2 linked regions of the Arabidopsis thaliana genome follow. The protein of the gene in region 1 interacts with the protein of each later gene in a biochemical or structural test. Each region holds a gene or a part of one and is shown in the gene's direction. Other genes may lie near its edges.

Evidence for each region.
Region 2: the proteins of AFH1 (region 1) and FIP2 form a complex in vitro, tested with the Arabidopsis thaliana proteins (one study listed by BioGRID).

The regions. Positions count from the first base shown.
Region 1 is NC_003074.8:9,250,010-9,257,030, reverse strand, and holds AFH1 (formin homology 1), read left to right. Parts: upstream 1-1,947; 5' UTR 1,948-2,204; coding exon 2,205-4,078; intron 4,079-4,164; coding exon 4,165-4,370; intron 4,371-4,551; coding exon 4,552-4,796; intron 4,797-4,880; coding exon 4,881-5,711; 3' UTR 5,712-5,938; downstream 5,939-7,021. UniProt on the Arabidopsis thaliana protein: Might be involved in the organization and polarity of the actin cytoskeleton. Involved in polar pollen cell growth process by maintaining tip-focused cell membrane expansion for the polar extension of pollen tubes.
Region 2 is NC_003076.8:22,316,184-22,323,071, forward strand, and holds FIP2 (potassium channel tetramerization domain-containing protein / pentapeptide repeat-containing protein), read left to right. Parts: upstream 1-2,121; 5' UTR 2,122-2,170; intron 2,171-2,423; 5' UTR 2,424-2,460; coding exon 2,461-2,506; intron 2,507-2,857; coding exon 2,858-2,967; intron 2,968-3,413; coding exon 3,414-3,548; intron 3,549-3,689; coding exon 3,690-3,836; intron 3,837-4,213; coding exon 4,214-4,297; intron 4,298-4,402; coding exon 4,403-4,449; intron 4,450-4,542; coding exon 4,543-4,616; intron 4,617-4,728; coding exon 4,729-4,787; intron 4,788-4,965; coding exon 4,966-5,025; intron 5,026-5,141; coding exon 5,142-5,222; coding exon of another isoform or gene 5,223-5,252; exon of another isoform or gene 5,253-5,362; coding exon 5,363-5,416; 3' UTR 5,417-5,622; downstream 5,623-6,888. Other genes in the region: AT5G54980 (Uncharacterized protein family (UPF0497)), read left to right, coding at 1-24, 123-377; AT5G54990 (RING/U-box superfamily protein), read left to right, coding at 1,322-2,002; AT5G55010 (uncharacterized protein), read left to right, coding at 5,717-6,046. UniProt on the Arabidopsis thaliana protein: May act as a substrate-specific adapter of an E3 ubiquitin-protein ligase complex (CUL3-RBX1-BTB) which mediates the ubiquitination and subsequent proteasomal degradation of target proteins.

The DNA.
Region 1 (7,021 bases):
TCTCATATTTCTGTGTGGATATGTCTAATGCCTCGGATGACCATTACGTGAAAACATTGTATATCAATGTTATCAAGTTATCAGACCGCACAAAAATAAACATAAAGAAGGTCATATGATAAATAAGATTCACATAAAACGTAATAATAAGAAAATATCCAACTAAAATTACTAAATTAATATGAGGTTAGATAGCAAACATCTAAACTACAACACACGTAAATGTTAGCCATTATGGATTAATAACTATTGATAAATTTTTTTTAAAAAATAAGTAAAATAGAATGAAAGTAGTACTTGATACATTATTATGATTTTTTATTTATTGAATGTTTTTAGAAAATTCACTTTAAGAGTGAGATTAATAGAAAATGTAACACAACAAAAAACTTTTAATTTTTCCTCAATTAATTTTACTAATTTGTTTATTTAATTAATGTAGAATGACACATGTCATTTTCTTGTATGATCACTCATATGAAGAGAGTTGACCAACTTTCATATATATGATTCATCACTCTTACAATTTCAACTAAATATTTAGGGCATTTTCATCCACGAGAAATCCATAAAGTTTCTCAAACAAAAAAATATTAATATTATATTATAATTTGATTATTTGATTAAAAAAATATTTTTGTTAAAAAATTAAACCAATAGTAAAAAGAAAATTGTCATGATGGATCGTAAAAAGTATCTCAAAGTTTCTGAAGCGAGAAACTTTCTACAATCTCTCTTTTACTTTTATTATTTTTATTTTTTTAACTATGAAAAATTCTTATGAGATACTACCAATGGAGATAGTTTTAGAGGTTCTTCTATAACCATCCGCTATGGTGTAAAATAAAAACTCATCCACAAACGTAAAACAACTACTCATCCATCCGCAATGATTTTCTTTTTTTTGAAACACTATATAAATTTTAAAAATAAAACGATGAGACTACTTATAAGGTATTTTTGCATATAAAAGTATAAAGTTCAATTTTGTGTGTCGGTGGTTTCCTGATACTCTTGTACTCTTACATTTTCAGTAGCTTTCCCACGTGACCAATTATTTTACTCCCTTTCTTAGTCCAATTATGGTTTTCTAGCACCTCTTTTTATTTGAACTTTTATATGAACTATTAATAGTTCACTTTATAGTTTTTCTTAACATTCACAGGCCCACAAATTTTACAAGAATCAGACATTATTTGCTTTAAATTTGATAAATTTTGCAGTCCTAGTCCTGGTAAATTCAGTATTTCTGTCATATTCAATACCATCAATTTCTAGTGCCATTTTTATGATTGCAAAATCCAACAAAAACAAACAAAACCATGTTGTGGTCTAATGTTTGTTGCCCCAAAACAGAAAGAGGATTCACACAGTCGACATTTGCATAAGACGCAGGAAGTATAACTGGCTTATTAAGAAGATTTAAGGGACGCATTTAGAGATATGGTTATTGCATGAACCATGATGTAGCCATTTAAAAGTTTATGGTTAACTTAACTATTTGCAACGATCGATATTTTATCAAACGATGCTACTGTATAAGTTTCTCATCATATGTCCTAATTCCTCCTTATTATCTACACCAGTTAGACCTGTCCTCCAATTTTACGCTTTGTACATACAGCATTCGGCGAAAGCACATGAACCGACCATTTACACATCCTGAGACAGTGTCGGTCAAAATAAAGTAAAGAACTCAGCACAATACACCCACTACCACTTCCTCCTCCTCAAACATTAACACACCATTATTTTATGTTTTCTTTATTACAGACGTCGTCAAACCGCCGTAATAACTTTTTAATAAAATAAAAATCCACTCGCATTTTTATTTTCAACATTGTGCGTACGGTGCAATTCAATGAACAGTGTTTACTTTCAGTGTGTACACTTCTGCGGACTATTACAAAGTCCACGTCTTATCCTACGTGTTATAATCTCATATGTTACTGTCTGAAATGGACCCCACTACGTAAAAATAAAATTAAGAATCAACCACTCTTCTTCCATCACCTCTTTTGGCTTTCTCTCTACTCTCTCTACTACTCTCTCACCATCACTGAGTTAAGAGAACAAACCAAAAACAAAATTATCAAACCATCACCAGCAGAATCTTAGCTGGATTCATCACTCTATTCAAAAAGTTTCTCTCTTCTCTTTTCTCAGATCTTGAACTCTTGAAGAAGAAAGAAGAAGATAACACAATGCTCTTCTTCTTATTCTTCTTCTACTTACTCTTATCTTCATCCTCCGATCTAGTCTTCGCCGACCGTCGTGTACTCCACGAACCATTCTTCCCTATAGATTCACCACCACCGTCACCACCATCACCACCACCACTTCCTAAACTACCATTCTCTTCAACCACTCCTCCATCTTCATCAGACCCAAATGCTTCTCCTTTCTTCCCTTTATACCCTTCATCTCCACCACCACCTTCTCCAGCCTCCTTCGCTTCTTTTCCGGCGAATATCTCATCTCTAATCGTCCCTCACGCCACTAAATCCCCACCTAACTCCAAAAAACTCCTTATCGTCGCTATCTCCGCCGTTTCCTCCGCTGCTTTAGTCGCTCTACTTATCGCTTTACTCTATTGGCGAAGAAGCAAACGTAACCAAGATCTTAACTTCTCCGATGATAGCAAAACATACACCACCGACAGTAGCCGCCGTGTCTACCCTCCTCCTCCGGCAACGGCGCCTCCAACACGACGCAATGCGGAGGCTAGAAGTAAACAGAGGACCACCACGAGCTCCACCAATAACAACAGCTCTGAGTTTCTTTACTTAGGAACAATGGTGAATCAAAGAGGAATCGATGAACAATCTCTTAGTAATAATGGATCAAGCTCAAGAAAACTTGAATCTCCAGATCTTCAACCACTTCCTCCATTGATGAAACGAAGTTTCCGTTTAAATCCAGATGTTGGTTCAATCGGAGAAGAAGATGAAGAAGATGAGTTTTACTCTCCACGTGGCTCACAAAGCGGGCGAGAACCGTTAAACCGGGTCGGACTTCCGGGTCAAAATCCTAGATCTGTTAACAATGACACTATCTCTTGCTCATCTTCAAGCTCTGGTTCACCAGGAAGATCAACATTTATCAGTATCTCTCCTTCAATGAGTCCTAAGAGATCTGAACCAAAACCGCCGGTTATCTCCACACCAGAACCGGCGGAGTTAACCGATTATAGATTTGTTCGGTCTCCGTCACTGTCGTTAGCTTCTTTATCGTCGGGATTGAAAAACTCCGATGAAGTAGGATTGAATCAAATCTTTAGATCTCCGACGGTTACATCTCTAACAACTTCACCGGAGAATAACAAAAAAGAGAACTCTCCATTATCATCTACTTCAACTTCACCGGAACGACGACCAAATGATACACCAGAAGCTTACTTGAGATCTCCGTCGCATTCTTCTGCTTCTACATCACCGTATAGATGTTTTCAGAAATCTCCGGAGGTCTTACCGGCGTTTATGAGTAATCTCCGGCAAGGTTTGCAATCTCAGTTACTATCTTCTCCTTCTAACTCTCATGGAGGACAAGGTTTCCTTAAGCAGTTAGATGCATTACGTTCTCGTTCACCGTCGTCGTCTTCTTCTTCTGTTTGTTCTTCACCGGAGAAAGCTTCTCATAAGTCACCAGTTACATCTCCTAAGTTATCTTCCCGGAATTCGCAGTCTCTATCATCTTCTCCGGATAGAGATTTTAGTCATAGCTTAGATGTATCACCACGGATATCGAACATTTCACCTCAAATTTTACAGTCTCGTGTGCCTCCGCCTCCTCCTCCTCCCCCACCGTTGCCGTTGTGGGGACGACGGAGTCAGGTGACTACTAAAGCGGACACAATCTCGAGACCGCCTTCTCTTACACCGCCTTCACATCCTTTTGTGATCCCATCTGAAAACTTACCAGTGACTTCGTCTCCTATGGAGACTCCAGAGACGGTTTGTGCGAGTGAGGCGGCGGAGGAAACTCCGAAACCGAAGCTAAAGGCGTTACATTGGGATAAAGTTAGAGCAAGTTCGGATCGTGAGATGGTTTGGGATCATCTTCGATCAAGCTCTTTCAAGTGAGTTAATGTGACATACTCGTTTATATGATACTATATGCTTTTAGTGAGAATGTGGTTGTTGAGATTATGAATGTGGTTTGCAGATTAGATGAGGAGATGATTGAGACGTTGTTTGTGGCGAAGTCGTTAAACAACAAACCAAATCAGAGTCAGACAACTCCAAGATGTGTTCTCCCGAGCCCGAACCAAGAGAACAGAGTCCTGGACCCGAAGAAGGCTCAGAATATTGCCATCTTGCTTCGTGCACTTAATGTCACTATAGAAGAAGTTTGTGAGGCTCTTCTTGAAGGTAAACTATGCTGTCACATACATAGTTTCTCATTTTCTTCTCCTTTGATCTCCAGAATTAGAGTTCTTATGCATTTGTTAATGGTTTTTCGATGATATGGTTGAGTTATTCTGAAAGCTTTGCTTCTTTGATGGTGTGGAGATTCTTGGTTACATTGATGTTCTTAGTTATGCTTTTTCAGGCAATGCTGATACACTGGGGACTGAACTTCTTGAGAGCTTACTGAAGATGGCACCGACAAAAGAAGAAGAGCGCAAGTTGAAAGCGTACAATGATGATTCGCCTGTTAAGCTTGGACATGCTGAGAAATTCCTTAAGGCAATGTTGGACATCCCTTTCGCCTTTAAAAGAGTTGATGCAATGCTCTATGTAGCCAACTTTGAGTCCGAGGTTGAATACTTGAAGAAATCTTTTGAGACTCTTGAGGTATATATTACAAGCTATTCTCTCTCTTTTTACCATATGGTTGTATTGTAACAGATTATGACTTCATTTCTATTGTTTGTGTAGGCTGCTTGTGAAGAACTGAGGAACAGTAGGATGTTCTTAAAGCTTCTTGAAGCGGTTCTAAAGACAGGAAACCGTATGAACGTTGGAACAAACCGAGGAGATGCACATGCGTTCAAGCTTGATACACTTCTCAAGCTAGTCGATGTCAAAGGCGCTGATGGGAAAACAACTCTCTTGCATTTCGTTGTACAAGAGATAATCCGAGCAGAAGGCACACGTCTCTCAGGTAACAATACACAAACAGATGACATTAAATGCCGGAAACTAGGTCTCCAAGTTGTATCAAGTCTCTGTTCTGAGCTTAGTAACGTCAAGAAAGCTGCTGCGATGGACTCAGAAGTACTAAGCAGCTACGTCTCCAAGCTTTCTCAAGGCATTGCCAAGATCAACGAAGCAATCCAAGTCCAATCAACAATCACAGAAGAAAGCAACAGTCAGAGGTTTTCGGAATCGATGAAAACGTTTCTGAAAAGAGCTGAGGAAGAGATCATCAGAGTACAAGCTCAAGAGAGCGTAGCGTTATCACTTGTAAAAGAAATCACAGAGTATTTCCATGGAAACTCGGCTAAAGAAGAAGCGCATCCGTTTAGAATATTCTTGGTGGTTAGAGACTTCCTTGGAGTAGTAGACAGAGTTTGCAAAGAAGTAGGGATGATAAACGAAAGAACAATGGTTAGTTCTGCTCATAAGTTTCCTGTTCCAGTGAATCCAATGATGCCACAACCTCTTCCTGGACTCGTTGGACGAAGACAATCTTCTTCTTCTTCGTCGTCGTCTTCAACCTCTTCGTCTGATGAAGACGAACATAACTCAATCTCATTAGTTTCTTAAGGTGAGATCTCAGCTTTGTCTGTGCATGTTGTTGTAAAAAGTATCCAGTATTGGATTGTTTTGTCATAATAGATTTAAATATATATATATAGAGGGAGGGAATTAATGACAGAAACAAAGAAGTGTTTTTCTTTTCTGCATTTGTGTAAAAAAAATAATATAGGTTTACCTTAAAATTTGTTCATCTTAAATTAATAATTTAAGAATCAAATAAATTTGTTTATCTGAACCGTGTGTACCACGAAAGAATGTGAGAGCAAACATATTACTTACTTACCCTTCGTTGCTGAATATAATGATCATTATAAATCACTACCTCCAGTACCTTCTACCTTCTTCAAAGAACCTTGTTGGATTTGAACCAAAGTTGGAACATAATTGACGAGAGGTGAGCATCTAGATTCTGCATCGTGATGATGATCCACTTTTATCTATTTATTTTCTCTCAAAATGTTTAAGAAAGTGTTGGAGACCTCATTTTACCAGGTAACACTAAAACTTTATTCTCGGGGTCTGACGAAGAATAACAAGTTTACTAACGCTCAAAAATTACATTGCAAAAAGAATATTAAATACAAGAATTACAACAAGAACAAGGGTATTCAAATTACAAATTCTATAGCAAAAAAAAATAAATCTTAAAAAATGTAATAACTGATAACAAACAATTTTACAAGTTCACTAACGCTCGAAATACATTGCAAAAAGAATATTAAACAAGAATTGAGTTAAAATTGTAGAAATTGTTGTGAAAAAATCAATATTGAAATTGTGTTGGAGAGGAAGCAAACTCTATGTGATCGTCAAGTTGTGGAGTTTATGTAATCGTGATTCGTGATCGTGAAGTTGTGGAGTTTATGTAATCGTGATTCGTGACCGTGAAGTTGTGGAGTTTATGTAATCGTGATTCGTGATCGTGAAGTTGTGGAGTTTAAGTGATCATGATTCGTGACCGTGAAGTTGTGAAGTTTGTTTTTGCAATTTTGTGTGCATGGATTTTTTTTTTGGATGTATATGTATTCGTGGATTTGTGTGTTTAAAATTTTGAGTGTAAGAAACTTTTTGGGCTGTGTATGCGTGTTTTTTTTTATGAGTGGTAAAAGAGAATTACTGTAACCCAGTTAAATCTTCCAAGAGTCGCTTGTTCTTGGCTGCACCATGTCCATATCATCTCCAAATTCTTTGCTGCTCAAAAAATAAAACATTTTGATATATACATTGAGATTGACCAAGATAAAACTAACACAACCAAATTATAGCCAAATTAAAGAAATAAAACTTACTAAACCAATATTCGCAGACGAGGTTGC
Region 2 (6,888 bases), on another chromosome or scaffold:
TGGCTCTTCTTTATTCCTGACCAGGTTTTTTAAAATTATCTTCTCAATCATTTATCAAATATCTAGTATGCAATTTCTTATGTTAGTTAATAATGTTTTTATATTTTTTTGGGTGTATGAAGGTTTTAGCTTATGTGATGACAACATCAGTAGCAGGAGCAACAGAGATAGTGTATCTACTTAACAAAGGAGACAAAATAGTGACATGGAGTGAAATGTGTTCTTCTTATCCACATTATTGTTCAAAACTCACAATTGCTTTGGGACTTCATGTCTTTGTTCTTTTCTTTTTCTTATTTCTCTCTGTCATTTCTGCTTATAGAGCTTTTAGTCCCTTTGATCCTCCTTGTGATTCTCAAACCAATAATGATGCTTAAATTAGTCAGTTTTGGATTCAACTTTATCAAAATGTTGCAGCAGTTTATGGTGTTTTAACTTTCTTCTCAAAATATTACAAAATATTTTTTTTTATGCCGCCAACTGTTGTTGTAGGCACCATACTCCTACAAAGAACAAGCGGGTTAGGCAGCCGTTTAGAAATACCAATTTATTTTATGTTTTTTAAGGCTACCAAATTATTATTTTACTTTTTAATGTTAATATATAGGTGTATCTTAAAATTTTTGTTTAATAAATTTTTTAACACAAATTTTGCATGATTTTAAACTAATTTTGAATAAGGGATAGAAAGAGCGCTACAAAAAAAATCTTGACTCGGACCATCATTTTTGTTGGACCGGCACATCCTGTAGATGTATAAATAACTTATTTTGCGGAAAAAAATAGATGTTTACATGATTTTACCTAAATACTACCATTTATGTAAATCTATAAATATCAGTTTATAGCAAGTTATAAATCCTTACATGGATTAACAGGTGTACAAAATTTTACAAAATAATAAATACAAAAGCATTGAAATAGTGTTTTTAACCAAAAGAAAAAAAAGATACTGTAATCTATAGAAAGAATCAAAGTGAAGTTGCAGAAATAAAGACCAAATCAAATGAATAATTTATTAAATTGATAAGGTGGCAACCAACAAATATATTGCACTTAATATAGTAAAAAATCATACATTGCTGTCAGTGAGTAGTAAACCAAGTAGTCACCCATATATAAATTTCTTGAAAATATGAAACTCCTAATCCTACATGACTTAAACCTTTTTTAGATAATTTCATTATCAAATGGCTATTCTTTCAATTCACCCTTATATCTTTGCACAACAATAGAGAGAGAAAAAGAAGTTCAAAAAAAACATAAGATCTAATTAAGAGAGGTTTTTGGTCTAGTTCCTCTGGTTCATACCACACCAACCATGAAGAACAGCTACAAGCATGAACTCATCTCAACCTCAACGAACGAAACTGATCGAGTCATTAATCGTTGCTTTCTCCGGAAAAAGACCACAAAAGAAGTCATTCATCTCAAAGCTTCTCAGGTCGAATCAGATTCGTATTCCTTCATCGTAACTTACCAGCCAAATCTTCGGATTCGTCATGAAAATCTCGATGGACACCAACTTAAGACCACTCTTGAACGTCATCCCGATCGTGTATTTAAACTCGAAGACAACATCCCAAAACAGTTTCTTGTCTCTCAAGAAACATGCCTTGAACACGTCATGATCATCTTGTCGGCGATGTATCTCCCGCAAACTATTCAAGAACGTCTTGTCCGTTACATCTCAACCGAATCCGTCAAGTTCAGAAACCGCCGCTGCGGAACAGGAGGAGGTTTGAAGGTAGAAGTTGACGTTAAAGTCGACGTGGAACAATGGGTGAGGATTGATTGTTGTTGTAAACAAAAGGGTACTTGTCTGGTCCCGGCGTTGGATTGTCCGATATGCTTAACGGAGTTATCTAGTGGGGTGAGTCGCATGAAGTTACCATGTTCCCATGTTTTTCACAGAGACTGTATAATGACGTGGCTGAAAAAGAACCCTTCTTGTCCTATCTGCCGAACCAAAGCTCATGGCAAAACTGTTTCTATCTATTAAGCTGTATGTGAACTTTTGTATTGGGCTTTAATATGTGAATTGGGCTTTTATCCAATCCATTTAAGCCCATTTAGTTTCCTTGGTCGGAAAAAGCAATAAGAATCATTTTTTCTTAGTCTCTTCGACCAAAATTCTCAGCAAGAACGAAGAAAGACGAAATATTCGCAGGTAAAAATCACACTTTCTACTTGTGTAAATCAAAACCATTTTTCATTCAATTTGTTTACGAAATATGAGTAATCCTCGTTTAACTTATGAATTTGAGTTACTGGATCGCAGTATTTTTGCTATGAAACATTCAAAATTTTCAATAGAATTAGAGCGCAAAGATTCGAGATTTTGTCAACTCTAGTTCTGTGTAGGCCTTAAGTTATGTTTACATCATCATCATGATCATCATCAAGTGATAGTCTTCTTACAGGTCAAAGCTTGGTGTTGAGTTCTCTTCTATCTTTCTCATGGAGACGAGCTCTAACTTGTCTTCCATGGTTCGTCTTAACATTGGTAAATTTCGTCCTTTTATATATTTTCTTGCAATCCCATTACTCATCACTTAGTTAAACGTTTAAATTCCTGTGAAAAATCAATCCTTTTTTATCCACAATGTTTAACTTTGAACCAATTATTGATTAACTAAAACTGGTAGCTAGAATCGTGTGAGAAAGGATGTGCTTGGTCATCTTTTCCTAGTTATGTTTCTGAATCCTGTGATTGAGATGGTGAATGCTCTAGTTCAGCAAATGTTTCTCACTTTGAGGCTTAGGTTTCGTTGACCTCTCTGGTTTCAGTTGTAAACTTCAATCTTTGTTGGGCTGATCATAATTAACTGTGATAGCTAATGTTGTTTTCATGCAGGTGGAAAGAAATTTTGTACGACCATTGATACTTTGACTATTCGTGAGCCAGACTCAATGCTCGCAGCGATGTTTAGTGGTCGACATGCAATGTGCCAGGAATCCAAAAAGGTAATTGTTGCATTCTTTATTACTTGATTTGCACCCCAATATTTTGTTTCAGGATGGTGCTAGTTCAGAACCTGCATATTTATAGGCTTCACTGAGTGTAATAGTTGGTCCTTGGATTGAGTAGCCTTCATTGAATGATATTTTAAAATTTAGTTTACAACAGAGACTGTGATTTTAGCTACCGACTATAAGATTTGCTTCAAAATATAAGAATCGATTCAAAGTTTTGACGCCATGTACCAGAAAATCTGTTAGACATAACAATATACTGTATACACTCACATTTATATGTATGAGTATGCTTTTTCCATTTAGCAGCACCTTAGGATGGCATAATAGCCTTAAAGACTTTAAGTTAAGGGCGAGGTTCAAACGAGGAAAGGCTTGCGCTGTATGCATACATGGATGTGTATTTCCACTAAACTAGTTAATTTTTATTGTTGCAGGGATATGTATTCATAGATAGGGATGGGAAGCACTTCCGTCATATTTTAAATTGGTTGCGTGATGGCGTTATTCCTAGTCTGTCAGATCCTGATTGTTCTGAACTTTTGCGGGAAGCAGACTACTATCAGCTTCTTGTACGCTAAGTTTCTCTCTTACCTTACTATTCTCGTTTTTGTTTTTCATTTCTTAGCTAGTAACTGGAGTTTTACTTTCTGTGGAGTACAGAAATAATTTGTGTTGGAGATGTAATACATTGCATTCTCTTCCTATTTCAGGGACTGAAAGATGGAATAAAAGATTCGAGAAAAGAAGTTGGTGAAGTAGAAGCTGAATTAACGCGTATAGATATCATCAAATGTATACAAACCGAAAGAGTCAGGTTCCGAGGAGTTAATCTTTCTGGAATCGATCTTTCTAAACTGGTAATATTTCTTAACCTCATATTCTTGTAGTTTACAATGCTGCTGATTTGAAACCACTACATTTCTGATCCCCAAATCAGTTCCTTCAGATTTCATTTGTGGGTTTGATTAACTTCTATGAAGGAAAATTAATAGAACGTATGGACTAACTGATTCTTGTTGTTTTAACCTGGAGTTTAAAAAGAACTTGCAGTTACATTTTAATTTGATTTTTTCAACTGGAATACACATCTGCTGTCTTAGTGAGTGTCTTTATTTCTTGTCAACATTAAGGGATTAGTAAACCTATCCGGGAAGAAGAGCTTCTTCGTCTTAGTCAGTGTCTAGAAGAAACCATTTCGTATTTACTGTCTGAATGTTCTCTTTGAATAATGTAGGATCTATCCCTTGTGGATTTCAGCTATGCTTGTCTCAGGAATGTGTTTTTCTCTCGTACAAATCTTCAATGTGCCAAATTTCGGGTAAATATGTTGTATCAACTTTTTTTCTGCTTTGCGAGACGAATAATATCATCGCATCAGGGGAGTTTGCTTGAACATCTGCTGAATTACTTAATGCTTAAACAGAATGCTGATGCAGAAGGCTCCATCTTTCACAATGCTATTTTGCGCGAGTAAGGAATTTGTTAGTTTCTCATCGTATATTGGACAATTTTTACTTGGTAACACTCACCTGAAAGATTTAAATTCTTTCTTTCCTATAAAAGGTGTGAGTTTACCAGCGCAAATCTTAGAGGAGCGTTGTTAGCTGGTACAAATCTTCAGAGTGCAAATCTACAAGGTGCATATAAGCCTATCTTGCTTGTTAACGATCTTTTAGACTGTCATGAAATGAAATTTGTACATACATATAACCATAATCTTACTAATTTGTTCCTACTTGTGTACTGTAGATGCCTGCTTAGTGGGCTGCAGCTTCTGTGGTGCAGATCTCCGCACTGCACACTTGCAGGTGCCTTAAGTAGTTAGTCTGTGTAGAATTAGAATTTTAGCTTAGACTTTTCACCATGACAATTAATGGTTATGAATTGCCGGTTTAATCCCCACCTTTCAATCCCACGTATCCAGTAGGTGTTTATGAGCATAGCGTGATTCGGTGATAATGTTTGATTCTCTTTCTTACCTAACAGAATGCAGACCTTACGAATGCCAACTTAGAAGGAGCAAATCTAGAAGGTGCAAATTTGAAGGTAAGCAATTCCTTTTATTGACAATTTATATTCAGCCTTATTTGATTTGTGCTAATAAGTGTAGTCTTAAATGAGTAGTGTTTAGTTACGGTTTTAACTGGATCTTATATGTATAGGGTGCAAAGTTGAGTAATGCCAACTTCAAAGGAGCAAACCTTCAACGAGCTTACTTGAGGCATGTGAATCTGCGAGAAGCGGTAAGTCCAAAACCAATACTTGGGTATTGAAAAACATACATGCGCAGATTGATTGATATAGGCCAGTAATTGGTTGGCTCTTATACAAGTTTCTGAGTAGAGTTTAAATGGTTAATCCTTGCGATATGTTTATGTAACAGCATATGGAAGGAGCAAACCTCGGTGGTGCTAATATGACCGGTGCTATCCGATAAACTCCATTTGTTCAGACTGACTGTAAGTCTCGTCTTTGTAACTGATTATGGCAAAACGTGAATGTATTGGCCATTTCTCAATGCTCCTTGTTGTTGAAAATTGAAATAACAAAAATATTTCTTTTTTTCTAAGAGGCATTTTTTCTAATAATGTTATCTTTCTCTAATCCCAAATGAATTTGGAAATTATAAACCTTCTAATCCTACATGAGTTTGCTTACGTTAAACAACAACAAAAGGAACACTATATATATATTCAGGTAGAGAGAACGAAGTTACAATCATAAGACAAACGAAATAATGTTGAAAATATTAGGGTTTAGTGGTAATAACAAAGTACCCAAAGATACCAGCTTCGAGCTACCGGACCATGTTACCACTATAGAGCGAAACTGTACGTGTTTCCACGAGTCAAAGACAACCAAGGAAGGCATTAATCTCAAAGCTTTTCCGGTAAAATCAAATTCGTTTTCCTTGTCAGTAATTTATGAAAAACTCGAAAATTTGGTAATAAAGATCTCGCTGAACACATATTCTCTTTACGACTTCAAATTCGTTTCAAACTTTCTCGATAGAAAGTCAAGGCAAATTACTTTTCTATTATGTTTTCATATTTATTTCAATTACTAAATATCAAACATTCGATTGTATGTATTAAAAAGAAAAGAAGAAATTTTTTTTTGATAATTATAATTAGCAATATATACAAGAAATCTTTAATACACTTAAGGCAATAACTTAAAATCTTCTTTTCTCACTTTTTTATTTCCTATCTCATTAAATTTTCTTTTCTCACTTCTTTAATACACTTAAGGCAATAATCATCTTTATCAAACTTTATTAATTATTTTTATATTTTTATATAGATACTATATTTTGGAAATTACCATTATATATATATATATATTAAATTTTTATTAAATACCAAAATTATGTTTTATTTTATTAACATCATGCATTATACCTTTTGAATGGTAATACAATAATGATACGAACACAAGTTACTAAATTACACATTATAATCAACCTAATATTCTTTTTGGCATATTTTTGTTCTAAATTAATTTTTATGTTTTGCTTAAAATTTTCGTAATTTCTTCTTCTAAGCCTTAGGTGGAGCAAGCCTTGGTGACTCGACAAAGTGAAGGGTTTGGTCTCCAGAAAGTTTTCTTCCAAGGTTCAAGAACGGATCTTCACAATTCAAATTGGTGAGAAACAGTTTGAATTTTGAGGATCCGTTCTTGAACCTTGCAAGAAAACTTTCTGAAGACCAAACCCTTCACTTTGTCGAATCATCAAGGCTTGCTCCTCAAAATCCTCACAATAAAAAAAAAGAGAGATATAAGAAGATCAATCTAGAAACGTACTACGTACAAGTAAAAGAAGGAAATGACCATTCAAGATTTGCAAGAGCTAGAGGAGAGAGAGAGATGTGTAAGTTGTGAGGTAGATTGTAGAGAAAAATAGGGTTT